Linked DNA regions of Arabidopsis thaliana. The protein of the gene in region 2 interacts with the protein of the main gene of each other region in a pairwise test. Each region holds a gene or a part of one and is shown on either strand. Other genes may lie near its edges.

Region 1 (9,598 bases), on a different chromosome or scaffold from region 2:
TTTGCGTGACGAGCTGTAAAACCTTAGAAAACCCTTCTTTCGCTGTTGTTGCCGGAGAAAATGGTGATGATGTTGAAGAAGACAGTGAAGAAAGGTTTAATCGGCGGAATGAGCTTCGCTAAAGACGCCGGAAAAATCAATTGGTTTCCCGGTCATATGGCTGCAGCTACTCGCGCCATTCGTAACCGCCTCAAGCTCTCCGATCTCGTTATCGAAGTTCGCGATGCTCGTGTCTGTAAACACTCACTCACACTATCTCTCTTTATATTCGATCCCTTTATCATCGTGGAAGGAATAATCTGAATTGTCGTTGTCTTTGTTTTTGGGTATTTTTGCAGATTCCTCTGTCATCGGCGAACGAAGATCTACAATCCCAAATGTCAGCTAAGAGACGTATCATTGCTCTGAATAAGAAAGATTTAGCAAACCCTAATGTTCTCAATGTAATTCGTTTTTTTGTGTGAACCTTTGTCTTTCTTTAACCTCTTGTTAGTCTCTGTGAGGTTGAGTTTCTGAATTTTTATGCAATTTATAGAAATGGACTCGTCATTTCGAATCCAGCAAGCAAGATTGTATTGCCATTAATGCTCATAGCAGAAGCTCTGTCATGAAGGTTAGATGATCCTCTTTACATTTAGGTTGGTGTGTTAAAACCAGTTATAGTTTCTTCACACATATAATTTGATGAGGATTTTCTACTACTGCGCATTGAAAAGTTACCTTCTTTGCATAATTTTTCGTATGTAGCTGCTTGATCTCGTGGAGTTGAAGCTCAAAGAAGTGATTGCTAGGGAGCCTACTTTACTTGTAATGGTGGTTGGTGTCCCCAATGTTGGAAAATCTGCGCTCATTAACTCGATCCATCAAATTGCAGCAGCTCGTTTTCCGGGTAAGATATTGGTGTCTCAGCTTATCAGCAGTGTTGAGTACACATTTCACAGATATAGTCCGGACTGTGAATCCGATTTCTCCAAACTTAAACTTACAAGTTAATTATTTCATGAACAGAATGATGAATGAAATGTAACGTGGCTTATTTCGTTATTGTATGCATTATGTGCATAGTGCAGGAGAGATTAAAGAGAGCTACGGTTGGTCCATTGCCTGGTGTAACACAAGATATTGCTGGTTTCAAGGTAATCTTTATTTGAAAATCCTCTTTTTTCCGTATGCCTGTTAATTGTTTGTGGATTTGCTTCAGCATGATTTTTGAACACATGATGAAAATGTTCTGTGGTACAGATTGCTCATCGACCTAGTATATATGTTCTAGACTCCCCTGGTGTGTTGGTTCCAAGTATCCCTGATATCGAAACCGGTTTGAAGCTTGCTCTTTCAGGTTCTTATCTATATCTTTATCTCCTTTCTCTTCTTTCTTCTTGGTGCTAGATCGTGTAAACCCGTACACTAGATTTAGTTCATCAAATGATGATACAGTTTAGGTCTTATAATCTCAGTTCTTAGTTTTTCTCTAATATAGGGCCGTATTTCTTACAGCATATGATCTCTCTAGCTAATTGTTATGCGTTTGACATTCTAAGGGTCCGTTAAAGATTCAGTAGTGGGTGAAGAGCGGATTGCACAATACTTTCTAGCTATTCTAAACATTCGAGGGACTCCTCTTCATTGGAAGTACTTAGTTGAGGGAATAAACGAAGGGCCTCATGCAGACTGCATCGATAAGCCAAGCTATAACTTAAAGGATCTTCGACACCAGAGAACCAAACAACCAGATTCATCTGCTCTGCACTATGTCGGGGTTAGCATAATAACCTTATATCTCTACCTTGCTTTCCTTCTGAAATTGTCCTGACCAATGAAAGGTTCCCTGTCATCTACAGGATATGATTTCAGAAGTGCAACGATCACTGTATATAACACTCTCAGAATTTGATGGGGACACGGAGGATGAGAATGATTTAGAATGTTTGATAGAGCAACAGTTTGAAGTTCTACAAAAGGCATTGAAGATTCCTCACAAAGCATCCGAAGCAAGGTTAATGGTCTCCAAGAAATTTCTTACTTTGTTTAGGACAGGTAGACTTGGTCCCTTTATCCTTGACGATGTCCCTGAAACTGAAACTGACCACCCCAATTCAAAACGGGTAGTTGTTTTGTAAAATCTTAAAGCAAATTGTACCACATTATGCGTGCAGCTTAAGATGATGATTCTATTTGTTTACATTTGAGATTCAATGGCGTTGCTCCAGTAACTCCAAAGTATTTGAATGAACAAAATTGAATCATGATAAGATTTGGCATCTGCCAGAAACAATATCTATCTGGTGTCCTCATTTATTGGCCTCAATGAATTCTCGGTACTCTTTCTTCATCTTCACACCCGATATAGTCCTACACAGACTCGGAATCTTTAGCCAAACCTGAACACAATAATCTATGCAATTTTAAAACTGAGAGAACGTTTCCTAACCTGAGCATTTCCTTGTTCTTGAAGAACTGCACACATGGGGTTCCCATAATTCCAGCTGCTTCAGCAATTTCTTGATCTTCCTCGATGTCAATCTCAACAAAATGCACATCATGGTTATACTCATCGACCACCTGAAACAAAATGAAGGAGAAGTGAACAAATGGTCAAGTAAATCAGTCCAAAAAGATCTCTTCCGATGAGTTTCATTTCGACTAATAAAGGAATACCTTGTTCAAAATAGGCTTCAGAGTCCTACAGGGGCCACATGTTGGTGAAGTGTATAGTACCAATATAACTCTTGGACTCTCATGGTATAGTTTTCTAAGAGCATACTGAAAGCAGGGGAAAAAACATAAGGAGAAAGATGTGAGGCAGAGAAAATGCTTGTAGGTAACAAGTTAAGGTTCATATGTTAACAAACCTGTCCCTTGTGCTTTGTAAGAGTGATGTCAAACTTTTCTTGGACATCCCGTTGTGTGAATTCTTTCTTGGCCTCTTCAGTTTGAGGCTGTAACGTGAACATGAAAGAGAGTAAGCCTTGTGACGTGTGCTTAAGAGATAAGATATTTCTGAATATTTCCTACCTGGTGAAATTCAACAAGAAGATTGTTACTTGTGAGGTATCTCTCGGCTGACAAAGCAGCTATGCATCCTGATCCAGCAGCAGTTACAGCTTGTCTCCATTCGTGGTCCTAGAGTGACAAATAGGAGAATATAGCAAACACAATTATCGAACCAATATGACTTAAAAGAGTTAATACCAACACCGAAAAATTGCTAAAAGTTCCGAAGAATACCTGCACATCTCCTGCAGCAAATACACCTTCAACTGATGTATTTGATGTTCCTTCCCGAACCAAGACGTACCCGGAGCTGTCGAGTTCGACTTGGCCTTCCAATAACTGACTGTTTGGCGAATGCCCTATTCCATAAAACAATCCTTTTGCCTCCAGCTCAGTTTCTTCACCCGTATCAAGTCTTCTGAGTAGAATGCCAGACATCTGTCCCTTGGTGTTGCTCAATACGTCCACGGTTTCCGTGTTGTAATGCACTGTGATGTTTGGATTGTTGATCACTCTGAAACATTCGCCATAACCAACCTGTTAAAAAAACACTCAGGGTGTTGAAAAGACTCAACTTACGTTGTGCTCATTAGTCTATAATTCCGATAGCCAGCAAAAAAAAAAAGCACTCTACTGGTTGGTTATAAATTTACATGCAACGGAAATCATAACCAAAGGCTTTCCCAGATATATCCAATGGATTTGCGAGGGAACAGGGGATAGCAGTCAATACATGCAACAAAGAACGCTCAACATAGCTATGACAAAACACATTTCCTAGTTTGGACATAGCATTTATCTAGTTTTAACTGTTTATCTTCAGAAATCAAAGAAGAGGAGTAGAATATAAGGCAGACGTGATGAATATAAGAACTCACCTATCTTGCATAGCCTTGGAAGCTCTCAACTGATCTCTGCGAACAAGCAAATGAACATGACGGGCATATTTCGTGAGATACAAGGCTTCCTCTGTAGCCGTATCTCCTCCTCCAACCACGGCAAGTACTTGCCCCTTAAATAAAGGCGAAGCTCCATCACAGATAGCACAAGCACTTATCCCCCTACTCCAGAATTCTTCCTCTCGAGGTAACCTTAACCTCCTTGCTGTAGCGCCAGTGGCATATATAATACTATGGCACTTGACCTATAAAAAATGGAAACATCAGAAGAGAGCTGAAGCCAAAAAAAAAAAACTATTTAGAATTTGAAAAAGAAATAGTGAGAAAACAAAGAAAGATAATCACCTTACGTTCACTAGTTTGCACAGTAAAAGGAGCAGTTGTGACACTAAGAGATTCAACATCTTCTGGATACAACTCTGCTCCCCACCTCTCTGCTTGCTTTCTCATTCTACAATTTTCACACAATAAATAATTGCATCAGAAACATATAAGAAACGCCACAAACTAACAAAAGAATCAGACTATGTTATAGCTCACTTCTCCATTAAATCGGGACCCGTGATACCGTCTGGGAATCCCGGAAAATTCTCAACTTCAGTAGTTGTCATCAACTGTCCACCGGGAACTCCGCCCATCTGATACCCTTCAAAAACCACCGGCTTCAAATTGGCGCGCGCTGCATATATCGCCGCCGTATAACCGGCGGGACCGGAGCCTATAATCACTACATTCTCGATAATCTCGCCTGCAATTAATTATTAAAAAACCAACACAGAGCTCGATTACTTACACTGCCAAAAACCTTAAGAAAGAAGCAAAGAGGAACTCCTCAAGTACCTCCTGAAGAAGAAGAAGACGGAGAATTGGCGGTGGCGGAGACTCTGAGGCGGAGGGAATCAGAAGAGCGAGTTCGGGTTGGTTGACGGAGGAGATAGGAGCCGCCGTGACGTGTGGTAGTAGTAGTAGTGAGAAAGAAGAGATGAGGAGGAGGAGAAAGAGCGGATGAGGCGGCGGAGACACGGTGAGGCGATGAGACGGAGGCAATACCGATGCCTATCTTGGGAGACGCAGCCATATTTTTTTTGATTGCCTTACCTTTACCAGAGACCATACAATTGTCTCTTTGGCTTTGCAGTTAAAAAAAAACATCCCGATTTTCTGTTGGCGACTGTGCCTCACGCGCCTCAGCATTATCTCTTTGCTTCCAAGTCCACAGGCTTAGATGATTTTCAGCCGTTGGATATATGTGATGAAGCGACTGAACGGTGGAGATGTGTTTTGACTGATTTTACTTCGTCTTTTCAACGGAGGGATAAGCCAATCGCTTTTTTTTTAAGTGGGAAAGATCGCCAAGAGTTTAAGTGGACGGACGACGCTTTTTATATTGGGCCATAAATGGGCCTGTTTTGGTACTGAATATTTAGTCACGACGAAGATTCTTAAACCCACCGGAAAATGGGCTAATCTGTGTGCGGATTGCTTCGCCAAAAAGTTAGTACTAATAATTTATAAAGCATAACTAGCTAAATGCGAAGACTATATAGTTTACTTAGTTCTGAAGAGGTTGAAGTGGAAATGAAATGAACTAGGAGTTGGTGAGGGAAGGTGACAGACTATTTTTTCTTAAGTCAAAAAGTTAAGCTGACCAAAAAAGAGCAGCCCAATGAAAGCAAGGATCTTTATCTTTAGTCTAGTGTCTGAATTCCATGCACTTCCAATGTTTTAGTCAACAAAATGTACTTACATTTGATGACTTGATGTTGTATAGATTCGTTAGGAAGCCACATCACTAAACGTTAAGCATAACTTTATGGTTAAAAAAAAACCCCCCCACCGTGTTCTTACTTGTCATCCAAATTCGATCTGCCATTTGAAGTTTCCTAAGCTGTTCTTGATGACTATTCTTAAATTCGATGTTTATATCTTACCATCTAAATTAAGCCTTACAAGAGCTACATATCCAAGTAGTATATGCTGGAGTAGTTTTGTGATCCCTTAATCTTATTGTTCAACAAATAATTTCAACAGGACATATATATGGATCACTACTGTTAAAACGATATAGTAGAGCTTAAGCGTTAGGATTTGTATTATTAGTTGTCTCTCTCTTTTACAGACGCGTGGAAGGTACGCGCCGTCATAGGAACATTGTCGGTAATCCCCTTCAAACACCAGTAGTCAGTAGATCGATGACTTGAATTACATCACTGTCCCCTACTTTGACCAATAGAGATCTAAAGGTTTCCTTTCTTGCATTATTGTGCTAAAACCGACATTTACTTAAGTTACTTGATTATGTCTTGGAAAAAAAAAAAGATTTTAACTTTGGGAACTTTTATTCAACTGAAATTTTAAAGAATTATTTAATTTGGAATTCCTTCTATAAATTTACTGGCTTTTACCGTTATACGTTACCATAAACTTATATATATGATCAAATTCGACCGTGATGAATGATCACTTTTTTAACTTTCCATTCAGATCAACTGAACCCCCTTACTTTTTCTATATATACTCTTTTAAGCACTTGTTTATATATTATCAACAAATTAAGGTGTCGAAAGTAACATACAATTAGACAAAGCATGTATAGTCAAAAAGATAGATAGTCATCAATTTTGAAAAACGAGCAATTTACATGATCCTACAAAACAACAAAACTAACTATATGAAATATCAAGTTTATAATCATTTTTAAAAATACCATTACAAAAGATTTGTACTTTGAATATAATTTAACATGAAATTTAGAAAACGATCTGTTTAAGAATATAACTTCTGCTATGTGGTATTTTAACTGGTACTTTATAGAGAAAAAAAGATTGGTAATTAATGTGATATTTTTGCAATCCATATTATATATTCGAGAGATTTTACTAATGATAGTACTTGATTAATCATTAGAGAAAACTAAATCTTACAAATATAGGTAGACATGATGAATAATATGCATGATTTGCGTTTCGTAAATTGATAGTACCACCTCACCTAAAGGGGGTCCAAACGAGTTGCTTCATATCACAATATCCAATTTTACCAACATACATTAATATATGTGTATTCACATATATACCTCGTGATTAATATTTTTTTTAAAATCATTTTTCGTTTGTTTCCTATACGTCTAATCAAACACACACGTTACAACTAAAATTATATTGACAATATAGCTCGGTTGGTAAAAGCAACGACTACTGCAGTTTCCCTGAAAAACTTAAGACCAGTACTAAATATCAACTATACAAATTAAGTTGATATCAGTTTTTTTGGGGGTAAAGTAATCCAATATCATTCTAAAATTAAAAGCAAAATGTCGTTAGTTATACATGTTAGAGACGAGCGTTGTGTTTGAGAAAAAAAAGAGTTATGTCGTATAGTGGATTCGACGTAAATATTATCGATGGTTGGTTTCAAACCTGAAAAATTACATGTCATATTGTCATCAAACATCGATTTTCATTTGATATAAGAAAAATATATTTACAAACACAATCGTGTGTGTGTGTATGCATCATGATTATATGCATGTTAGTGTTAGAGTTACATATTCTATAGAATATGTAAATAGTTAGAAGCGTACGTTCCTTGAAAATTGTTCAAAGTATTTCTATTATTGTTTTCTTTTGTTAAAGTATTTCTATTATTGTCTCAACCACCTAATTAAATTAAATAACGTCTCTATCTCTTTCTATGGAGTCGTGTTACGTCTTTCTAGTTTGAGATCTTCTACTACTTGTTTTCTTCAAGAATAATAATTTTCGTTTTATATATGGAAGATGCTGGTGAACATTTACGGTGTAACGATAACGTTAACGACGAGGAGCGTTTGCCATTGGAGTTTATGATCGGAAACTCAACATCCACGGCGGAGCTACAGCCGCCTCCACCGTTCTTGGTAAAGACATACAAAGTGGTGGAGGATCCGACGACGGACGGGGTTATATCTTGGAACGAATACGGAACTGGTTTCGTCGTGTGGCAGCCGGCAGAATTCGCTAGAGATCTGTTACCAACACTTTTCAAGCATTGCAACTTCTCTAGCTTCGTTCGCCAGCTCAATACTTACGTACGTATATATGCTTCACTGTTTCAATCAGTATTTTAAACTATTTGTGTTTCTTTGAGTTTACTAAGTGTATTTGCTTAATTAAAGGCATTAATGAGTGTTGTTACAAAAATATTATAGGGTTTTCGAAAAGTAACGACGATAAGATGGGAATTTAGTAATGAGATGTTTCGAAAGGGGCAAAGAGAGCTTATGAGCAATATCCGAAGAAGGAAGAGCCAACATTGGTCACACAACAAGTCTAATCACCAGGTTGTACCAACAACAACGATGGTGAATCAAGAAGGTCATCAACGGATTGGGATTGATCATCACCATGAGGATCAACAGTCTTCCGCCACTTCATCCTCTTTCGTATACACTGCATTACTCGACGAAAACAAATGCTTGAAGAATGAAAACGAGTTATTAAGCTGCGAACTTGGGAAAACCAAGAAGAAATGCAAGCAGCTTATGGAGTTGGTGGAGAGATACAGAGGAGAAGACGAAGATGCAACTGATGAAAGTGATGATGAAGAAGATGAAGGGCTTAAGTTGTTCGGAGTAAAACTTGAATGAAACTAGATTGCTAGATTGATATTCGTAATATACCAGTTTCTTCATATTCTTAGAAGTTTTGCATAACTATATATAGTACTCTTTTAAGACATGCAAGATCAGAACATATGTCCGAGAAATATCGGATTCTTTGCTGTATTGGTTAAGTCTCGTGTTCATAACATGGTACATCGTGTGTATATATATAGCCATTAACTAAGAGAACGTTTTCTCATGTATTTGCGAAATTTAAAACTATTTTGGGTAGATGAGATGAGTTACATCTCACTTTGGGCTGTGGTCAGGATGATTTTGGTTATGTAAGCCGCGTTAATAATGGTATCACTAGCTGCAAAATGGTTGAATTTTGGTAAATCTCAACTCTCAACTTTCAACTCTCAAAGCAGGCCTAGAACTAGAAGTAAAAGATTGGCATTCTCTTATTTCGAATTTAGGCCAGAACATACGGCACATTAGGGTTTTTTCCAGATTTTTAGTTGATGGAAGATAAAATATGAGGCATCATGTATATAGACATTAAGACCACAGGTTTCTCATGTATATGTCATATTTACAACTATGTTGAGTACGCAGATGAGATTATAATAAGTGATCAGATCTCTCTTTGGGCTATGGTCACAAAGGGTTTTTGTTGTACAAGCCGCAATAATGGTTTCACTGGCTATGAGTTAGCTGCAAAATGATTGAATATGGTCTCAAGTGTGGATTGACTTATACTGTATTCAGCTATTCCCAGCCGATTCCTGCCATAGAATGAAGCAAATTTCTTTCCTCAGACTTACAAAGACTGATGTTGTGTGGATCATGGAGAAGAAACAGTTAAAAGAAGAATGTCTTACCGGTTTCTTTCAAGATGTCCAAAGGCATCCGCAAGTGACAATCCTCCTTCTCCAAATGGCAACTGCAACCCAAGAGAGACAAATATGGAGCACTAGTCCAAGAGTAATCTTAGAGCCAATAGATTTTGTGTTTAATAATTTACCTGGTACTTGATACTCAGTCCATTGCAGCTTTTGAATGTTGCACCGGGAAACGAAGATTGTATGAAAGAATCCAATGCTGAGAACTTTTCTTTGGT
Region 2 (8,063 bases):
AATAATAATAAAGTAGGAGAGAGATATGAGAGAGATTGAGAATAGTTTCTCTGCAGAGAAACTTTAGAATAATGATTGAGAGACTATGTGTATATATGTGTGTTTATTATTGGACATAAACTAAATCATAGTAAAATATTATTATATTTTTTTTTTGAGAGACTATGTGTATATATGTGTGTTTATTATTGGACATAAACTAAATCATAGTAAAATATTTTTTTTTTTTTTTTGAGAAACTTTTAAAGTATCTTACCAATGGAAATGGCCTAAACTTCCTAAAAAAATATATTATATTCTTAAAACTATTTCCAAGTTTCTAATTTGACCCCACAAAGGAGAAAAACCAACAAAAGGGCCCTTTCTGGTGGCATCTTTATCCCAAATTACACAGTGGTTTTCATATTTTATATATTATCTTTACATCAGAGTTTTTTTTTTCCCATCAACATGTATACGTAAAAGAAAACAACAAAAATTATAGCAAAATAACCCTTCTTGAATGGTAAAATATCTCGCAGATTTTATATCATAATTTTATATAGTTTACGATAATAAAGAAATGTGAGACTAAATAAATTCAACGAATAGGATATACACAGAATCCAGACTTTGGCATCCACGCGGCATAAAGAAATAGATCGAGTGTGATATACAACAAATCACAAATGTGCTCTCATTAATTTTAAAAAACCCAAATCTTTAATGTATTCGTAACGAGTCTGTCACTACATTAATAATAAGTCATTGAAATTGAAATCCACCAATAGTTGCACAGAAGAATTAATATATATTTCCATAACTCTCATAACACAAACTTCACCTTTTAACGAAGAAGAAGATATGTTCCCAAAACAAACGTTTTGACTTTTTTTTTGTTTTCTCATATTCTTTTATTTCACAACTTGTTATTTCCGCCGACTTCACCAGTCACCACCACCTTCATTTATTCATAAATACGTCTCTGTTCTGTTTTTGTTTCTGTTTCATTTTCATACATAATTAAGCCAACACGAGACGCAAGAGAGAGATAGGGAAAGAGATAAGAGCGACTCTGTTTTGTTGATCAAAATCCTTTTTTTTTGTTTGAGGGCTGAATTTGTTTGTTGATGGTCATCTAAATTTGTAACCTTTATCTGTTTTATTGAGTTGTGAAATTCAGAGAAAAAATAAATGAAGTTTTGTAAGAAGTATGAAGAGTACATGCAAGGACAGAAGGAGAAGAAGAATCTTCCTGGTGTTGGGTTTAAGAAACTCAAGAAGATTCTCAAGAGATGCAGGAGAAATCATGTTCCTTCTAGAATTTCTTTTACTGATGCAATCAACCACAATTGTTCTCGTGAATGCCCAGGTACTGTTCGACATAATTACCCTGTGAATGAATCATCATCCCCTGCTTTTCTCCTTTTGGTTTGAGAATTCAATATTGATTTTGTAGTTTGTGATGGGACTTTTTTCCCGGAGCTTCTCAAGGAAATGGAAGATGTTGTTGGATGGTTTAACGAGCATGCTCAGAAGCTTCTTGAGCTTCATTTAGCTTCTGGTTTTACAAAGTGTCTTACTTGGCTCAGAGGCAACAGTCGAAAAAAGGACCATCATGGTTTGATCCAAGAGGGTAAAGATTTGGTTAATTACGCTCTCATCAATGCCGTCGCCATTCGAAAAATCCTCAAGAAATATGACAAGGTTGATAATCATCTACTATTGTAAGATCCAAAGACTGATGATGGTCTTTTTAAGCACTTGTTTATTCAATATGTTTGGCATCTTTGTGTTGCAGATTCATGAGTCTAGGCAAGGACAAGCGTTTAAGACTCAGGTCCAGAAAATGCGAATAGAAATCCTTCAGTCACCGTGGCTCTGCGAGCTTATGGCGTTTCACATCAATCTGAAAGAATCTAAGAAGGAATCTGGAGCTACTATAACTTCTCCTCCTCCTCCTGTTCATGCATTGTTTGATGGTTGCGCTTTGACTTTCGACGATGGGAAGCCTTTACTTTCCTGCGAGCTCTCTGATTCCGTCAAAGTTGACATTGACTTGACTTGTTCAATATGCCTGGTAAGAAACTTAAGAAGAATCTCAATGTAGTTGACTTATTAGTAATCTGAAATATAGAAGAAAGTATCAGCCTATAGGGATAGAGTCTTAACTTTGTCGTGTCAAGGTGTTATTCCACTCTCCTCTTGCAGGTTCCACTTCAAAGACTAAGTCTTTAGCAATGAATATTTTTAAATGTAATGCTATTAATAAGTCTTTAACTTACGGATTACAATTGATTGGCGAAAAACAGGACACGGTGTTTGATCCAATATCTCTAACCTGCGGTCACATATATTGCTACATGTGTGCTTGCTCTGCTGCATCAGTAAACGTAGTTGATGGCTTGAAAACCGCAGAAGCAACTGAAAAATGCCCGCTTTGCCGTGAGGTTAGACACATTCTCCACTGCTAATTACGACTTAGTAGTCTACTAGTCTTCCTTGTTTTATGCACTAAATCTCTGTATTTTCGCCCATTCGATATCAGGATGGGGTTTATAAAGGTGCTGTTCACTTGGATGAGCTCAATATTTTACTTAAGCGAAGGTAAATGCATATACAACCATTCTTCTTTTAATCTTTAAAACCTGTCTCTAAAAAGACTGACTTACAATTTCCAAAACCTGCAATAATGCAGCTGCAGAGACTATTGGGAAGAAAGGCGTAAAACAGAGAGAGCAGAAAGGTTACAACAAGCAAAGGAATATTGGGATTACCAATGCCGAAGCTTCACTGGAATATGATATAGTTTGATTTGTGGCTTCTTAAGTGAGATTCTTGATTTTGATAATAAGATAGTAAAAATAATCTTAATTTTGATTTGCTTTCCTCTGTGAGTGTGTTTCCTTGCACAGAGAGTGACGATTTCTTTGTGAAAAAACTGAAAACTCTTAAGCATTAAATATGGTTTATAAGTTTGCATATGTCCTCTTCACCTCATAAAGATGCTTCTGAATAGAAAAAATACTGAATTCTGATTTATAGAAACTTCATAACCATTGTAGTGTTGTTGCAAGTTTATAACAAAATTGAACAAAGGATACAGAGATCATCATCATCATCATGAAACTAAAATCGGGTTCTTGTCTTTGTAAATCTGATATCTCGTACATAGCTTTCGAAGTGTTGCAACCGAATGCTGCATCGAGTTTAGCTTCCTGTCTCGGTACATGCCCTGTTCAAAGGAATAGATGTTAGAACTTAGAAAGAGTATCATCACACAGAGCAAAAATGATAGAATCAGTAGGATTATAGATCTAACCTCAATGTCATCACCATGTTTCTCCACCAAACGCCTTATATGTGTGCGTTGCATAGTGGTAAGCGGCTGTAAAGGAGCACTCTTTCCATCTTTTCTTTGCTTCCCCAATGCTGTCTTAAGATCTACACATCTCACAACAAAGCATTTCAACAATTAGTTACCACAAAAAGGAAACTTGCATCAACTCTGTAAATTGCTTAATAAACATAGTGATGAAAGAGTAATGAATCCAAAAGCTAATGAAGCAGATTCTTGCTTAATAACAGCTACATATAAATATTGTGTAGTTTTCATCAATGGCATCAACGTATATTCATGATTCTCTGTATATTTTGTCTACTAATATTGTAAGCTTGAGACAAGCATTTACAGAGATGATGATCAAGCAAACTAAGATTCTTCGTAGGTAAAATCAGTTTCATAGACATGAATTAGTAGAGAATCTGAAGCTTTACACAAGCATATCGTTAATGATGAACTAATGATGTTTGTTCCAAGAACTAAGATTCTTCATAGGTATAATTAGTTCTCCCAAATTCACCACTCCAAACCCTGATTTCTGCCCTAATTTCGAATTTCCTAAATACCAACTTCGAAAAACTAATCAATCCAGCGTGAATCTAAAATCGAATCAAAGACAGAGGAGAAAAACGTACCGTCTTCCTCAAGTTCGCTTCCAGAATCAATGGGCTCGAACTCCTTAGCAATAGGATCATCAGTCGGTGGCTCTACAGGTGGAGGAACGTTGAGGGAATCATCCTGAATCATATGGTCGGTACGAGCTCGGATACCAAGCAAATTAGGGTTAGAGATGACGCCAAAGGATTTGTAGTTCTGGATAACGCTAGCTTGATCGTCCCATTCAGGGACATCGTCTCCCATGAGAGCGCGGAGCTTGGGAGGGAAGTTGAAAGCTGGTTTAAAGATATTAGGGTTCTTCTTAGGAAGAGCAACGCGAACTTTAGCCCTAGAGTTCCTGTACTTTCTTCTCGACCTCGCCATCTCTCTCACTGATTTTTTATTTTCGCGATGGAGAAGAAAAAGCAGAGAGATGAAGTTCGCGGCGGAAAGGGTTTAACTACAAAGGGTTTACACGGTTCTCTAAAACGACGTCGTTCTGTTATTTACCTATTACAAATTATTTTAAACCGGTCGATGATATACGGTAATAGATACAATATTTGATTGGTTCAGTGGATCTTTTATAATTTTTTCACTGTAAATTTTGAAGTAAACTTATTCCAAAGAAAAGATTCATTTTTACAAAATTCGTATTTAGTACTCAAGGTTATGTGTGGATAAAAATCACATTCATTTATAATTTTAGATTTAACATACTCGTAAGAAGACTATTTTCTCAAAAATAATCACTCTCTAGGTAACTTTTGGTCCACAGATTCCGGTTTCGTGAAATCGTGCCTAGAGACAGAAAAAAAAGTTAGGGAGAACATAGAGCATCTCACAAACTCACTACAAGTCTACAATCGATGTGAGTGTTATACAAAAACCAAATGTGAACTCAACAATCCTAAGGATTCAAAATTTTGTGTAAATTACACAAAAATACAATAAATATTATAAAATTTTTTTAAAATAAAATAAAGATAAGTATTAAAAATTAAAAATTAAAATTAGATGTAAACTATATTGAACTTAAAACACCTCCTTCGAGGTTTTGATGTTATATCCAATTAGTTTACACAAAATTTAATAATTTAACATTTATAAGAAGTTTTATTAATATAAAAATATAGTGTTAAAATCATTTTTAAATATGGATGTTGTATCCAGTTTATACAAAATTTAAAAATTTAACACTTATAAGAAAAAACCTTATAGTTTAAAAACTTTATAGTTTTAATAGTAATAATATAAAAATATAGTTTTAAAAACATTTTTAAATAAATAAAAATAAGTGTTAAAAATTTAAATTAGGTATGAACCAATGACACTTCTTAGGAGTTTGGATGTTGTGTCCAATTAGATAACACAAAATTTAAAAATTTAACACTTATAAGAAAAAACTTGATAGTTTAAAAACCTTATAGTTTTAATAGTAGTAATATAAAATATAGTTTTAAAAACATTTTTAAATAAAATAAAAATAAGTGTTAAAAAGTTAAATTAAGTATAAACCATATTGAACCGATGACGCCTCTTAGGGGTTTGGACGTTGTGTCCAATTAGTTTACATAAAATTTAAAAATTTAACACATATAAGAAATTATTTATAGTTTAAAAACCTTATAGTTTTAATAGTAGACTAGTAGTAATACAAAATATAGTTTTAAAAACATTTTTGAATGAAATAAAAATAAGTGTTAAAAAGTTAAATTAATTGTAAACTATATATTGAACCGATGACGCGTCTTAGGGGTTTGGACGTTGTGTCCAATTAGTTTACACAAAATTTAAAATTTTAACACATATAATAAAAAACTTTATAAAGTTTTAATAGTAGTAATACAAAATATAGTTTTAAAAACATTTTTGAATGAAATAAAAATAAGTGTTAAAAAGTTAAATTAATTGTAAACTATATATTGAACCGATGACGCGTCTTAGGGGTTTGGACGTTGTGTCCAATTAGTTTACACAAAATTTAAAATTTTAACACATATAATAAAAAACTTTATAAAGTTTTAATAGTAGTAATATAAAATATAGTTTTAAAAACATTTTTGAATAAAATAAAAATAAGTGTTAAAAAGTTAAATTTAGTGTAAACCATATTGAACCGATGACGCCGCTTAGGGGTTTGGACGTTGTGTCCAATTAGTTTACACAAAATTTAAAAATTTAACACATATAAGAAAAACTTTATAGTTTAAAAACCTTATAGTTTGAATAGTAGTAATACAAAATATAGGTTTAAAAACATTTTTGAATAAAATAAAAATAAGTGTTAAAAAGTTAAATTAAGTGTAAACCATATTAAACCGATGACGCCGCTTAGGGATTTGGACGTTGTGTCCAATTAGTTTACACAAAATTTAAAAGTTTAACACATAAGAAAAAACCTTATAGTTTTAATAGTAGTAATACAAAATATAGTTTTAAAAACATTTTTGAATAAAATAAAAATAAGTGTTAAAAAGTTAAATTAAGTGTAAACTATATTAAAACGATGACGCCGCTTAGGGGTTTGGACGTTGTGTCCAATTAGTTTACACAAAATTTAAAAAATTTACACATATAAGAAAAAAATTTATAGTTTAAAAACCTTATAGTTTTAATAGTAATAATACAAAATATAGTTTTAATAGTAGTAATACAAAATATAGTTTTAAAAACATTTTTGAATAAAATAAAAATAAGTGTTAAAAGTTAAATTAAATGTAAACCATATTGAACCGATGACGCCGCTTAGGGGTTTGGACATTGTGTCCAATTAGTTTACACAAAATTTAAAAGTTTAACACATATAAGAAAAAACTTTATAGTTTAAAAACCTTATAGTTTTACTAGTAGTAATATAAAATATAGTTTTAAAAATATTTTTGAATAAAATAAAAATAAATGTTAAAAAATTAAATTAAGTGTAAATCATATTGAACCGATGACGCCTCTTAGGGGTATGGACGTTAACACTTATAAAAGAAAAACTTATAAAATTTAAAAATTTAACACTTATAAAAATTTACACAAAAATTTAAAATTTTAACATTTATAAAAATTTACACAAAAATTTTAACACTTATAAAAATTTAACAATTAGTTTACACAAAATTTTAAAATTTAACACTTATAAAAGAAAAACTTATAGTTTTAGTAAGAAAATAAAAAAGGGAGAAAAACAAAAATAAGAAAGGAGGAAAGTAAAATACCTTGTTGGGCTTGGGAAGCAAAAAGGGCCCAAAAAGCAAAGTCCATTCGAAAGCCTAATGTGGGTCCACCGTTCTCTTGTAGTTGTCTTCTCTCGTCAGAATTTTTTCTGATCTTCCGCTCGAAAAGTCCATTCGAAACCCTTAGACGAAACTCTCAGAATTTTTTCCGATCTTCCTCTTGTTGATCCTCTCACTCGAGCAGATCTGACGGCGAAGGCGAAGAAGCAAACGTCCGTTACTTATGGATCGATTGCTCTCAGGCTGGTTTTCATCGGAGTGTTGGCGTCGACATTAGCTTCGTCAGGCGATTGATAGTTTGATTATCATCTTCAGATTCTAAAATCAAATCCAGTTCAACTGAAATCGATCTCGATTGGAGAGGGTTATTCAATCAATGATGATGAACTCGAACTCACGGCTTACTTCAATGTCGTTCGGCGAAGAGAAATAGATGAGAATGATGATAGAATTTGGCTTTCGTTTCTCGAAGAAGAAAAATAAGAAAGAAGTAGGTGAATAGAGAATTTTGATTTCTCAAGTATGAAGAAGAAGAAGAAGAAGAAGAAGAAGAAGAAGAGAATGCGTGAGAGTTTATTGATGATAATAAGCAAACAAGGTTCTTGGTTCTAACCGTTGGGATTATATTTATTAATCTAACCATTGGGATTATAGAGGAAATCTAAACTTAGATCCGATTTCCATTTTACTAATATCAATCTAAACTAAAGGAAATTTCGTTTTGGTTTATTTCCTTTTTTTATAATATATAACGGTTAGAAGAATCATCTTTTTTTATTGGTTTGTTTAAGTATGTAACTTCTTTTTGTCAATATTATTGGCCTACTAATTTTATTCCAAATGGTTCTATGCTTTCTTTTAGGATCAGGTTTATTTGTATACAAAAAACAATGTCCGTTTTGCTACAGGCAATGTTT

Evidence for each region.
Region 1: the proteins of AT1G02870 (region 2) and NTRC interact in a two-hybrid assay, tested with the Arabidopsis thaliana proteins (one large-scale study listed by BioGRID).

Annotation. Positions count from the first base shown.
Region 1 is NC_003071.7:17,374,058-17,383,655, forward strand, and holds NTRC (NADPH-dependent thioredoxin reductase C), read right to left. Parts: upstream 5,003-9,598; 5' UTR 4,972-5,002; coding exon 4,734-4,971; intron 4,642-4,733; coding exon 4,434-4,641; intron 4,345-4,433; coding exon 4,239-4,344; intron 4,139-4,238; coding exon 3,873-4,138; intron 3,509-3,872; coding exon 3,229-3,508; intron 3,124-3,228; coding exon 3,016-3,123; intron 2,940-3,015; coding exon 2,853-2,939; intron 2,764-2,852; coding exon 2,659-2,763; intron 2,563-2,658; coding exon 2,432-2,562; intron 2,353-2,431; coding exon 2,292-2,352; 3' UTR 2,121-2,291; downstream 1-2,120. Other genes in the region: AT2G41670 (P-loop containing nucleoside triphosphate hydrolases superfamily protein), read left to right, coding at 61-231, 339-443, 536-613, 748-889, 1,066-1,136, 1,243-1,339, 1,542-1,759, 1,842-2,120; HSFB3 (heat shock transcription factor B3), read left to right, coding at 7,666-7,962, 8,083-8,520; ABCA1 (ATP-binding cassette A1), read right to left, coding at 9,182-9,263, 9,360-9,421, 9,503-9,598. UniProt on the Arabidopsis thaliana protein: Thioredoxin reductase (TR) that exhibits both TR and thioredoxin (Trx) activities. Contains a C-terminal functional Trx domain.
Region 2 is NC_003070.9:634,301-642,363, forward strand, and holds AT1G02870 (nucleolar-like protein), read right to left. Parts: upstream 4,382-8,063; 5' UTR 4,304-4,381; coding exon 3,958-4,303; intron 3,932-3,957; exon of another isoform or gene 3,472-3,931; intron 3,424-3,471; coding exon 3,302-3,423; intron 3,215-3,301; coding exon 3,101-3,214; 3' UTR 2,914-3,100; downstream 1-2,913. Other genes in the region: NLA (SPX (SYG1/Pho81/XPR1) domain-containing protein), read left to right, coding at 1,174-1,351, 1,439-1,686, 1,781-2,059, 2,292-2,429, 2,528-2,586, 2,678-2,783.